Linked DNA regions of Mus musculus. The protein of the gene in region 1 binds, or shares a complex with, the protein of each later gene. Links are inferred from orthologs where the notes say so. Each region holds a gene or a part of one and is shown on either strand. Other genes may lie near its edges. The genes, in order: Kcnd3, Kcnip2 and Kcnip1.

The links.
Region 2: the proteins of Kcnd3 (region 1) and Kcnip2 are in contact, whole or in part, in a cryo-EM structure (PDB 7W6S), measured with the Homo sapiens proteins. The link is inferred for Mus musculus from reciprocal best matches to the Homo sapiens genes KCND3 and KCNIP2. Residues at the interface, in NP_001365898.1 of Homo sapiens: Val5, Ala7, Trp8, Leu9, Phe11, Ala12, Arg13, Ala14, Ala15, Ala16, Ile17, Gly18, Trp19, Met20, Pro21, Val22, Ala23, Asn24, Cys25, Pro26, Met27, Pro28, Leu29, Ala30, Pro31, Asp33, Trp54, Arg60; in NP_775283.1 of Homo sapiens: Arg112, Gly113, Phe114, Asn116, Glu117, Cys118, Val123, Phe128, Ile131, Tyr132, Gln134, Phe135, Phe136, Tyr144, Leu148, Phe152, Phe165, Leu169, Ile172, Leu173, Arg180, Trp183, Ala184, Leu187, Tyr188, Met201, Met205, Ile208, Met211, His228.
Region 3: the proteins of Kcnd3 (region 1) and Kcnip1 are in contact, whole or in part, in a crystal structure (PDB 2NZ0), measured with the Homo sapiens proteins. The link is inferred for Mus musculus from reciprocal best matches to the Homo sapiens genes KCND3 and KCNIP1. Residues at the interface, in NP_001365898.1 of Homo sapiens: Ala6, Ala7, Trp8, Leu9, Pro10, Phe11, Ala12, Arg13, Ala14, Ala15, Ala16, Ile17, Gly18, Trp19, Pro21, Val22, Pro26, Met27, Pro28, Leu29, Ala30, Pro31, Lys34, Lys36, Arg37, Asp39, Trp54; in NP_001030009.1 of Homo sapiens: Leu67, Arg69, Gly70, Phe71, Glu74, Val80, Phe85, Ile88, Tyr89, Phe92, Phe93, Tyr101, Leu105, Phe109, Phe122, Ala125, Leu126, Leu129, Leu130, Leu138, Trp140, Thr141, Leu144, Tyr145, Ile161, Val162, Ile165, Tyr166, Met168, Met169.

The regions. Positions count from the first base shown.
Region 1 is NC_000069.6:105,657,792-105,661,398, reverse strand, and holds part of Kcnd3 (potassium voltage-gated channel subfamily D member 3 isoform 2 precursor), read right to left. Parts: intron 2,789-3,607; coding exon 2,626-2,788; intron 1-2,625. UniProt on the Homo sapiens protein: Pore-forming (alpha) subunit of voltage-gated A-type potassium channels that mediates transmembrane potassium transport in excitable membranes, in brain and heart. In cardiomyocytes, may generate the transient outward potassium current I(To).
Region 2 is NC_000085.6:45,813,220-45,817,355, reverse strand, and holds the start of Kcnip2 (Kv channel-interacting protein 2), read left to right. Parts: upstream 1-1,292; 5' UTR 1,293-1,552; coding exon 1,553-1,625; intron 1,626-4,136. UniProt on the Homo sapiens protein: Regulatory subunit of Kv4/D (Shal)-type voltage-gated rapidly inactivating A-type potassium channels. Modulates channel density, inactivation kinetics and rate of recovery from inactivation in a calcium-dependent and isoform-specific manner.
Region 3 is NC_000077.6:33,641,169-33,644,775, reverse strand, and holds part of Kcnip1 (Kv channel-interacting protein 1), read left to right. Parts: intron 1-207; coding exon 208-277; intron 278-1,386; exon of another isoform or gene 1,387-1,409; coding exon 1,410-1,480; exon of another isoform or gene 1,481-1,549; intron 1,550-2,237; coding exon 2,238-2,345; intron 2,346-3,607. UniProt on the Homo sapiens protein: Regulatory subunit of Kv4/D (Shal)-type voltage-gated rapidly inactivating A-type potassium channels. Regulates channel density, inactivation kinetics and rate of recovery from inactivation in a calcium-dependent and isoform-specific manner.

The DNA.
Region 1 (3,607 bases):
CCCTGAGTCAGCCTTGCCTTGGCTCACCATGACAGACTGAGTGCTGGGAGCAGACAGTATTGTTTTTCTCTCTCACAGGAAGCCCAAGGTGACTGAGACAGAGCTGTGCCACCTGGAGGAGAAACAGCATCCAGGCTGGGTGAAAACATGTAAATATTTACTTAGTTCAAAGGATAGAGAAAGGGGTTGTGGAGGGCTCCTCTTGAATAGCTTAGAGGGAGGAAAAAGCCAGAGTTAGTCCTGCTGGATTTTAACCACACACCATAAGCTTTATACAGTCTGCGGGAAACATTCAATGCTATAGTCTTGGCAGATGAGCTTCTTTGAGAAGTAGGAATGGTGTAGGCAGGGAGGGAAAGGTGGCTACAGAGCACAGCTACCTCTGGAGGGGCTCTTACCATTGAGCCTGGCACTTCTGAGAACCCTACCCGCTCTGCAAAAAAACAAAACAAACCAAAAAAACCAAAAAAACCAAAAACCAAAACCAACCCCCCCCCCCCCCGTGTCTGTGCTTGCCAGGGGTTAGGAGGTGCAAGGGCAGCAAATGTGCTATAGGGTAACCTGGCCTCGGGGTTTGGATGTGATAGCCAGGTTTTCTTTGCTCCTTTATTTAGAACTGTGTGATGTATTTAGTCATTGTTCACTTTTACCAGCTGCCCTGAGCAGGGAAAGATAAGACTTCCATTTCAGGAGTGTCTGGGAGAGAGGAGACCTTGACCTTGGGTGAAGAGATAGAAGGTAGATGCTACAGGGGACAGAGGACCTCAGAAGAAAGAATTTATGGCTGGCAAAATTACAGACCAGGCATGGGTACAGGGGAACAAGAAGGTAAGGAGGAAGGGAGACAATGACTGGCAAGAGGTCATTTTTAGGATGCAGGGGCAGGCTTAGTGTATGATTATATTATTCATTGTATATTTTGCTATTTGTTTTCGGTGTACGTCGTTATACCATTGTTTTAGAGTTAGCTTAAACTCGTGGCTTTGTTTGTTTGTTTGTTTTGTTTGTTTGTTTTTGTTTTTCGAGACAGGGTTTCTCTGTATCTCCCTGGCTGTCCTGGAACTCACTCTGTAGACCAGGCTGGCCTCGAACTCAGAAATCTGCCTGCCTCTGCCTCCCAAGTGCTGGGATTAAAGGTGTGTGCCCCCACTGCCCGGCAAATTTGTAGCTTTTTATAACTATGCTATAGCCAGTATACACAGACCTGTTCTTAGGTTCTAGATTCGTTTGTATGGTAATTCCTGCTACCCAAGAATTACTTCTGCCAGTGGGAGCAAGTAATCTAGCTGTTAGGCCTGTCACATGGAAGGTGCTTACATAAATGTCTGTAGGAGTGACAGGATGGAAGAAAGACAAAAGAGCAAAATCCTTCTCTCTAAGCTCATCTTCCAACAAGGTGCCCTTCTGTCTTTTCTACAGAGACTGACCTCTGTGTACACAGAGGCACAGGTCATGACCTCCAGAGCAATAAAGGTACCATTTTCATCCCAGATCAAAAGGGAAGTAGACACTTCCCTTCAGGTATCCCTTGCCTTCTAGTCTTTCCCAACTTGATGGAACTTAGAATCCCTCAGGAGACTGGTGAGGCACCCTCTGGGAGTATCTATGTTGTCTAGAGAGAGACCCATTTAATGGGAATGGTGCCAGCATGTGGGCGTGGGCTCCGATGAAAAAAGAAAGACAGCGGAGCTCTGACATTCCCTCCATCTCCGCCACAGTCTGTCAAGAGATGAAGAGTAATCTCCATCATGTGCTCCCCCTGTCGCCATGATGTTTGAGGGCCAAGCAGACAGACGAAGCCTTCTGAAGCGGTGACCGAATAGTGATTCTTCTTTTAATTATATATGACAGGCATTTGTCACAGCCAGGCAAATAATACAGAACCCTTGTAAAAATCTTGCCAGGAATCATCTCTGGATGATGCCTTGGAATTGTGGTGTGACCTTGCTGTCCCAGAGAGAAGCCTGAAGGCCATAGGAGAAAAGGGTTTCTGAGCACAGCAGCCTGTAGGCATCTTGCTCTGTATGGGCAGACAAAGGTATTTCACTTACCTGTTTTCTCAGTACAGACTTGGCAGAACCCAGAGCTTTGCCCAGGCCTGGTGCTGACTCTCTAGTTATCAACTGAGTCCTGTGACTTGACATGGCACCCTGGTGCTTACTAATATTTGATGTTCCACTTGACCTAGAACTCAGTGGCCACAGTCTCTTCTCCTCTCACAGTGTTCATTTTTTTTTTCTTTTCTGCACATTTATTTTTGTCACTTGGTTTTGTACAGGCCCTCAACAGGATATTAAAGTGGCATTTTGTTTCCTGGTAAGCTCTTGGGTGGGCTGCTTGGTGGCCATGGCTGGGGGTATAGAAATGGAGCATTGTGTCAGTTAATAGATTACTTGCATGGAGGACAATCAGGTTCTGTGTCAATAACTTAAGGTTTGTTGCATTCTATAGCAGCAGACTGAGGCTAACTGAGGACATTGGTGGGTAGGAGGATACAACACCGCCTTATCTTTCCAAGTGAGAGGACGTCCATGCAGGGATCCTCCAAAGGATCTAGGGCTGGCAAGGCTGTCTGAGTCTCCCACCCTTCCTACTCCCTCTTCCAACCCTGTCTCTAAGACTTACCTTTTGTGCCCTGCGTTTATCTGCTCTCTGATTCTGGTGGTAGATCCTGCTAAAGTTGGAGACTATCACAGGGACCGGCAGGGCAATGACCAGGACACCGCTGAGGGAGCAGATGGAGCCAAATATCTTCCCTGCGATTGTCTTAGGCACCATGTCTCCATATCTGTAAGAGAGAGGGTGAGGGGTGGGCACAAGAGAGAGGATATAAGTAAGAGGCCATGTGGGAAACAAGTGGGGCTTCATAGCCAATCACTCACTTGCTCGAACACTCGTTAATGTATTCATTTATTCATTAGTGTGCCACAGTAGCTACTATACACGGGAGTCGGGGCTATAATCCCAAAGTGAGCAAAAGAAGCAAACCACCTATGTTCATGGAGCTGCTTTCTATGAGGAAGGCCACACACGAGTAAATGATCCCGTTAAAAAGCCCTGTGGGGAAAAGGTAACCAGACCCAGGAGACAAACGCTACAGTTCTCACTCCTATGTGGATTTTAGCATCAAGACTTAGACTTGTGGTTAATTTGGAGTATCTGTAGAATGCACAAACCCAGAAAGTGACCATTGGTGGTCCCTTAAGGGAGGGAGGATAGTAGAGCAGGGGTGATAGGAAGGGGAAAGGAGAATAACAGGGGGAGAGGCTTAAGGGGGGAGAGGGATAGGAGGGAGGGCAAGGAGGGGTGGGGACAGATGACTAACTTCAAGGATGTTTGAGAAAGCTATAAAGTAACCTTCTATTTTATAACCACATATATCATAATTACACATATACATATGCATATATGAATATATATCATACAAATTATGATCATCATATTACTATATATTAATCCCTATCTTATGTAGAATAACTGCAATATATATTACAAGAGAGTTTAAAGGATTTATTTATTTATTTTATGTATATGAGTATGTTGTTGCTGTCTTCAGACACACCAGAAGAGAGTATCTGGTCCCATTACTGATGGTTGTGAGCCACCA
Region 2 (4,136 bases), on another chromosome or scaffold:
CTCGTTAGTGTCTTTTCCCCTCGTCATCTCTTTGATGCAGGTATTGGTCCTGTGTCATAAAAGGACCTCTTGGCCTTGATAGAGGCCAGCTGAGTTCAGAGAACTGTGGTTTCCCTTGCCTTTGGGTGAAAGAAGGGAGTAATGTTATGAGCAGGTCCCTCCGGTTCCGTCTAGGACAAGCAGCCCTAAGCAAAGCTCTCCTTTTTTCCTGACTAGAAGCCCACCCTTGCCGGGTTCCTTCCTGTACACCTAAGACGTTTAGCCTGGAGTCTACAAATCAGCTTGGCTGGTGCCTCTGACAGCTCTGTGGAGGTTTCTGGGAGCGTTCCTTCCAGAGACAGGCCTCCTTAAGGCAGCTGCCTGTCCCAGCCTCATACAGGAACACCCGCCACAGTTCACTGACTCAAGTATTTGGAAAGTAAATCTGACTGAAAAGACTCAATGTGTTGAGGTACTTTAGCTGAGACCTTTGGTCTTAACAGGCCATTCCTGGAGACAAGAGGTGGAGAGAGAGGGAGCTGTGTGCCGGGCTGTGCAGGGCTGTTCCTCACTTCAGAAAATGAGGGAGACATCTCGTCTCGCTTCTGTATCACACTCGGATCCCCAAACCTTTCAGAAGCTCCCTAAATCTGCCGGGAAAACAAAGTCTAGAACAGCAGGTGGGGGGAGAGAAAGGGGCAAAAAAAAAGTTGACTTCTTTCTTTTGCCTTCCCAGTTGCCTGGGGAGGGGGGTGGGTAGGAAGAGTCATCAGATCTGGGAAGAGGGCATTCAGAAAGTGAGGCCCCCTCCGGAACTTGAGATAGACAAATGTACCCAGTGCCACCTGTGAGCCCGTGTCCAGAGGCTGGGTTGGTTGGCTCTGCATCCTCATTCCGCTAGAGAAGGGTGGCTGCTGATTAGGAACACGCAACTCTCGGCAGGAGGAACAACCGAGAATATAAGGCTGAGATGAGGAGCAGAGGGAACCAGGGACTCAGACATACCCCAGGCTCTGGCCCAGCTGTGCAGGACTGGCTGACTGGGGGGCGGAGGGAAAGAGGTGCCTGAGAATTGGAGGCGGGGTTTCTTCACAGCGGGGCTTTTCTGGCCCCCTCTTCTCGAAGCCCCGCAATTGTGGGTGGTGTAGATGGAGAGCTATTCTCCCTTCCGGCACTTTCCAGTTCACCCCTTCACCCGGTGCCTCCTCCGAGCTGCAGAGGGTGGGGGGCGGGGGTAGGGGGAGCCAATCCCGGCAGCGCCTAAGGGGGGAGGCGGCAGTGACAGCCGCGGGGAGGGGGCGGAGGAGAGGCGGCTGGGCTCAGGCTCGGCTCTCAGCTCCACGCTGCCTTCTGCTCCGCTCTCACTTGCTGCCCAAGGATCCTGCTCCTGCCCCGGGACTCTGAGGTGGGCCCTAAAATCCAGCGCTCCCCAGAGAAAAGCCTTGCCAGCCCCTACTCCCGGCCCCCAGCCCCAGCAGGTCGCTGCGCCGCCAGGGGGCACTGTGTGAGCGCCCTATCCTGGCCACCCGGCGCCCCCTCCCACGGCCCAGGCGGGAGCGGGGCGCCGGGGGCCATGCGGGGCCAAGGCCGAAAGGAGAGTTTGTCCGAATCCCGAGATTTGGACGGCTCCTATGACCAGCTTACGGGTGAGTAGGTGGCTCAGGGGTCCTGGGAGGGTGAGCAGACTCCATCCCCCTAGACCCTTCCATCTCTCTGCCCCCTGGCTTGGCCCTTATGCACACTCTGCCCCATTCCTGTGCACCTTGCAGGCTGGTCTAGGGAACAAGACCCTAGGATTTAAAGCTTTGGGTCCCTAGGGGGCTGAGGAAGAACAGGTGGGGCAGGTGTAGAGAGGCAGCAGGTGTAGGCGTGTGTGACACAGGGCTAGGAGTGTGTCTGGAGTGGGAGGTGTTACGTGCGGGAGCACCTGTCGTTCCTGTGTGTCTGTGTATGTATGTGCACCTCCCACAGCTGTTTGCCGTGTGCCTTGAGCGTTGGTGACAGCCGGGGTGAGTGTGTTTGCATGAGGCAGTGCGATTTTATGGGCTTGCCAGATGTTTGAGTGTGGTTGTGTAGGACCCCGGCTGCACTAGTGAAGTTTGTTCTAACCATATGTCTGTTACATGTTCAACTGTGTGCTTTGAATGATTCTGTGTGAAATGGCGTGTGACAACCAGAGTGGTGTCACTTGGTGGTGTTCTGTCCCTTAAGAAGACTTCTGGCATGAGTATTCATTAAAAGTGTTTGTGATTGTGGGGCTGTGGGTTGTTTCAGCATTTGGTGCTGTCCACTCTCAAGCATGATGCCTGCAGTGGGGGCCCCTGTGACTGTTAATGGCATTTCTGTCCTCTTTGCCTCTCTGTCTTCCGGGTGTTAGCAAGGGTCTTTCTTTAGTGCCCCCCATTTGCTCCCTCTATTTCCTGCAAAAAGCTCAAGGACCCAAAGAGAGACCCACCACCCTGGGGTTCTAGCCCTTGGCCCCTGTAGAGAGTCTTTGGTTAGTCCTGGGTTAGTTTCTACCCCGGAGGGTAATTACTCAGGTCATTCTGAGCATGCAAAGCTTCTTTAATTACCAGCAACCCTATTAGAACTTCATCTAAACCTCTTGCTTTCCTTCAGAATAAAGACAGAAACTATGGGCCTATGAAGTGTGGGAAGGCTCCCCTCCCCCCAACCCCTCCCACACCCGTCACTTTGTGGCCCACCTTGGGAGGGTCTATATGTGTGTGTAGAGTACTAAGCTTGGTAGGTAAATTCTGTTTATGTAAATGACTTTGTCACCTTTGTATATTTCCATATTTGTGTCTCGTTGTGTAGAACTCCTAAGAACTCCAACGAAGAGTAGGAGGGGGGCTGTCTGTCCAAAGACAGAAACAGCGATGGGCAAGTGGGGAAGACCATAATCCTTGCCCTTCTCAACAGAGTCAGGGCAGAACCTGGGAAGCAGTGAAGGGGACCAGGATCTAGTGCTCTGAGAATAAGTCTCAGCTACTGACTTTGGGATGACCCTAGTTGCAATGTCAGGACACCAGCGGTGTGTGAATGTGTGACCCCATTCTGCTCTGTGCCCGCCATCAATTCAGGATCCTTGAAAGCAGTAAGGGTCCAAGAGCCCCCATTAACATGCGATTAGTTAGTTTACTTCCTACACCATTCTCCCCTTTAGTGAAATATTCTCCTCGCTGGGCTACTCGATTTATTTATCGTGAGCGAGTGTTTTGCTGCATAGTCCTGGCCTTACTATGTAGCCTAGGCTGGACCCAAACCTTAACTTCTCCAGTCTTCACCATCCTTGCTGTAGATGGCTCTGCACGTGACTGGAGAGCACTATGGAGACCTCTCCTTTGTAAAGAGAGGCTTGTCTTGTGACTGGAGTCCTCTGATTGGAGCCCTAAGGAGGAGTCGTTGTCCACGGTGCTGAAGCGTGCTCCCGCCGCGCCCCCCCCCCCCTTCCTTCCCTATGCAAGTTGGATTCCTCAGTTGCATTTGGGATAGAGGAAGAGGCTGTATCCCTATCAACTTGGTTCATTATGCTGGCAGCAAAGTGGTCTTAAAGTTATTATTCGGAGCAACTTGGATACACCCCAACCATCGCAGTCTTATCCCAACCAAGCTCAAAGCAATTGGGAAAGACTTTCTTAGTAGGGGTAGGGTAGGATGTGCCCACCCCGTAACCCCCAATTCTTCGTATTCTTACCTGCCTGGGGGGGGGGGAGGGGGGCTGTTTGGCAGTGCTGCACAGCGGGGAAAGGCTGAATCAGCGCTCAGCAGCAACCCCATCTAAAGAGAGGCCTAAAAAGAACTGTCCAAGCTGAAATTGCGAGTTGGGTCCTGACTGGCCATGCCCCAGGGCCTGGGTCCAGGATCCCTGGAGTCTTGTTCCTTTGGCAATTAAAGTATCGTTCCTGGGGATGGAGCGCCCCCGTGTGGCCAAAGAGCCCTGTGTATGAAACTAATTCCTCGTGGGCACTGTTGCCAGTGGGTTCGAGTAGACAAGGTGTGGTGTTTAATGGTAGCTCTCTTCTCTTAATATAGGCGTGTTCCCCTACCCTTCGCGCACACACAGTGGAAGAAATGGGAGCATACATCTTCTATGGCCTTTCCCAGGATTTTGAAGTGTTTGTAGGTGCTAGAAGGATTTACATAGCAATAAGTCC
Region 3 (3,607 bases), on another chromosome or scaffold:
TCCCAACCCAGTCCCTAGTCTGTAATGACTTCCTCTCCCTTGCAAACCAGCTTTTCATGATAGGGTTGCCTCCAAGGCCCCCCTAAAGATACCCAGGATACATGTGTTTCCCAGTCTCTGCCCAAGAGAGGGCACGAAGAACCTGCTCAGTTTCCACCTCACTACAGACTCCCAGACCTCTCCCCCCCCCCCTCTCTCCCACCACAGGAGTGCCCTAGCGGTGTGGTCAATGAAGAAACATTCAAGCAGATCTACGCTCAGTTTTTCCCTCACGGAGGTGAGTAATAAACACCCTTGGAAAACCACTCTCTGGCATCCTCTCCAGTGCTCAGCCTTCCCTTCCCCAACCCCTCTGTTCTTTATCTCTGTCTTCTTTGGGGTCAGAGGAGAATTCATGGCGAGATTTTTCTTTTCTTACTAGAAAATACAAAACTCTCTGACAAACAAAACGGGGCCTCCTCTAGAAGAAGAATGGCTATTGCAGTGTCAGAAAGTCCTATAACAGCTCCAGGAAGCAGGCATCATGACCCCAGAAGGAACAACGGAGTTTCAGAGACATTAAGCAATTTACTCACCATCACACAGCTTGAATATGGCAGCCCAGGAATAGAAAAGTATATGGGACAAAAGCTTTGTCATTTTGGTTCCTTAAACAGCTAAGGCAGGTTGAAATTTCGTAAACAACATTAGTAAGTACTACAGACCACAACAATCACTGAGCAAAATAAACTGTGGGCAGCGTAAAGTTGTACTTATTTACAAAGTCAGATTAACGAAGGCACCGGACCCCCACCACCTGTCCAAGTAGGAACAGCTCCACAAGGCAAGGTATCCTTCCTCCTGTGGCCTTCTGGTGTCATCTGTCCACAGGTGTCACCTGGACAGTGCAGAACACCTCTCCCGGGGCCTAACAAAATAAAGACTCAAGTGTCCCACATCCTCCTTGGGCCTTTCCAGCAGTACACAGGTGTCTCCCTGGTGTGGGACTCAGTGTAGGATTTCTTTGGGCTGAGAAGGAGTAGTTTCACTTCAGGCTAGCACCTGACTCCCAGTTTATGAACACCTCAGAAACAGTGCTCACTGTGTCTCTCCTCACAAGGAAGTGCCGTGCCATGACAAGGACCCCTGCTCAGGATATCTTTATTCAGCCACACACACATACACACACACACACACACACACACACACATACACACACAGGACCAGGTCACAGAGGAACAGGCAGGGGACACAGTGGAGAGAGAGACAAGAACCTATCTAACCTTTTGCTAGAACTAACTTCTCACCTAAACTCCAGGGGCTGAGCAATGGATCTCCCTTTCCTCTCTCTGGCCCCACCCCTGCTGCCTCTGCCCTCTGGGGAGCCTTCCCTCCACCCCCACTCACCTGCTTTCCCCTCTTCTTTGCAGATGCCAGCACATATGCACATTACCTCTTCAATGCCTTCGACACCACCCAGACAGGCTCTGTAAAGTTCGAGGTATAGTATGTGGGTCCAGTCTGGGAGTTCCCTGTTTCCACATTGCCTCTCCTTCCAAATATGACGGTCCTAATGAAAAGAGTTAATTATCAAATGTCTTCAGTTAAGACAAGAAACTTGATTCATTTAACAAACATCAATTGAAGTCGGAGAAGACAATTTCCTTGTCTAAACACTGGGCTTGAGGGTGGTAGAGAGCTCCCTGTGCTCTGTATGCCGAAGGGCAACCTCTGGACCTAGCATTTCATATTTATTAACCTGCTTAACTTTTATAATAGTGTTTACAAGGCATGGTCGGATTATTATTTATTATCATTTTACAGAGGAAGAAAATGAGGCAGAGACAGAGTGGCTTTTCCAAGATCAGAGAGAGAAAAAAAAAGTGGCCAGGGAGGCCTTGAACACAGGCAGTGTGTTCTCTCACCCTGAGCTCCTATTCACTGGAATGTACAGTCCCTCGGATGTTAGCAACCATTGCAGCCTTGGGTTAGGATCAGCAAGGAAGGTGGAATTAACTGCCTAGAGGTGTCCACACAGTCAGAGCTTAAGTCGTCCTCAGTGGGCATCAGAAACTGCAACAGTGTAGGTATAGGGAATGGAAAATAGGACTGGGCCAGGCTGAGACTGGACATTTCCATCTGCCTAACAGGAGGGTGTGGGAGGTGCCATTTTGGAAAAGCACCATCATCCAGCCTGGTGGCCAGGCTTCTCTCCAGCCCCGAGGTGATTAACAGAGGCCTTCTTCTCTACTTCCTAGGACTTTGTGACTGCTCTGTCGATTTTACTGAGAGGGACAGTCCATGAAAAACTAAGGTGGACGTTTAATTTGTATGACATCAATAAAGACGGCTACATAAACAAAGAGGTAAGTGAGCTGAGAGCAGGGGACATGAGATGAACACACAGAAGAAGTGAAGAAGCCCACACAGCCATGTTCCCTATTCATCCAGACACGGGTGTTCAACAAAGATTGAGAATTCATTCAGCTTCCTGGATGCTGGAGACATCCAGCAATCGGCCCACGTCTGACTGTCATGGGGCAGTGGAGTGGAAAGGACAATCACAGCAAAATGTACAATGACAGGTAGATGTTTTGGTAAGAGTCAGCAAGGGGCTGTCTAATTCGGTATTGCCATACCAAGGGAAAGGCACCCCCAAAGTCAGGAAAAGTATCCCAGGAAGAAGAAACTGCCATTAGAAGATGGGGTTCCCACATGCCCTCCAAACAGAGAGGCTTGTTGGTGGCTGCAGGCTAGGAAGATACGGAAGAAAAGTAGACAGGCTTCAGCCTGGAAGGTTGTCAGGTTCAGATGGTGGAAGGCTGGGGTAGAGAGTCCACTCTACCTCCGGGGAGCTGGGGTGTAGAGCAGAGTTTTCAGAAAACACTAACTACTAACGGTGGCTCAAAGACAGCAGGAAAAGGTAAGTAGCTCCCTGTCCCTAAGAGAAATACAATTCACATTTAAAAACCCAGAAAAGTTCGAGCTCCTCGGATGATTTTCTGGTGACTTCTAACAAAGACCTACAAAGCTGGGGCGCAAGGAACTTTCCAATGTTTTTCTGTAAATCCAACAATACCCCGATTCTGAAATTTGAAATAAAAAAGGTCTGATGGAGAAGACAACTACCATTATTTCTCACGATGACAGATGCAAAAAAACCTATCAAAACTTTAGTAAACCGAATCTATCAATACATTAAAAAATACAGAATAGCGTAACAGAGCAAAGTTCATTCCAGGAATGCAAGGTTGGCTTAACACTCAAACATCCACATCATTCACTATATTTACACAACAAAAAGAAAAACTATATTGACTAAATAAATGCAGAAAAAGCACTTGATAAAAATCACCGCCTATTTATGGTAAACTTTTTAACAAATGGAGAATAAAAGATCCTTTTCTCAGCCTAGTTATCTGATAACTATTTTTAAGAACACTACAGCTAATATCTGCTTAACAGTGAATATTGCATAATTTCCCCCAAGGCCAAGAATGAAACAGGGAAACTGAGGTAAGAAAAAAATAAAGTTTTATCTGTAATAAGCTTGAATTCATAGAAAACAATTCATAGACATCTCAAAGAATCTGCAAAGGAATACCAAAGAAACTACTAAAAAAAAAAT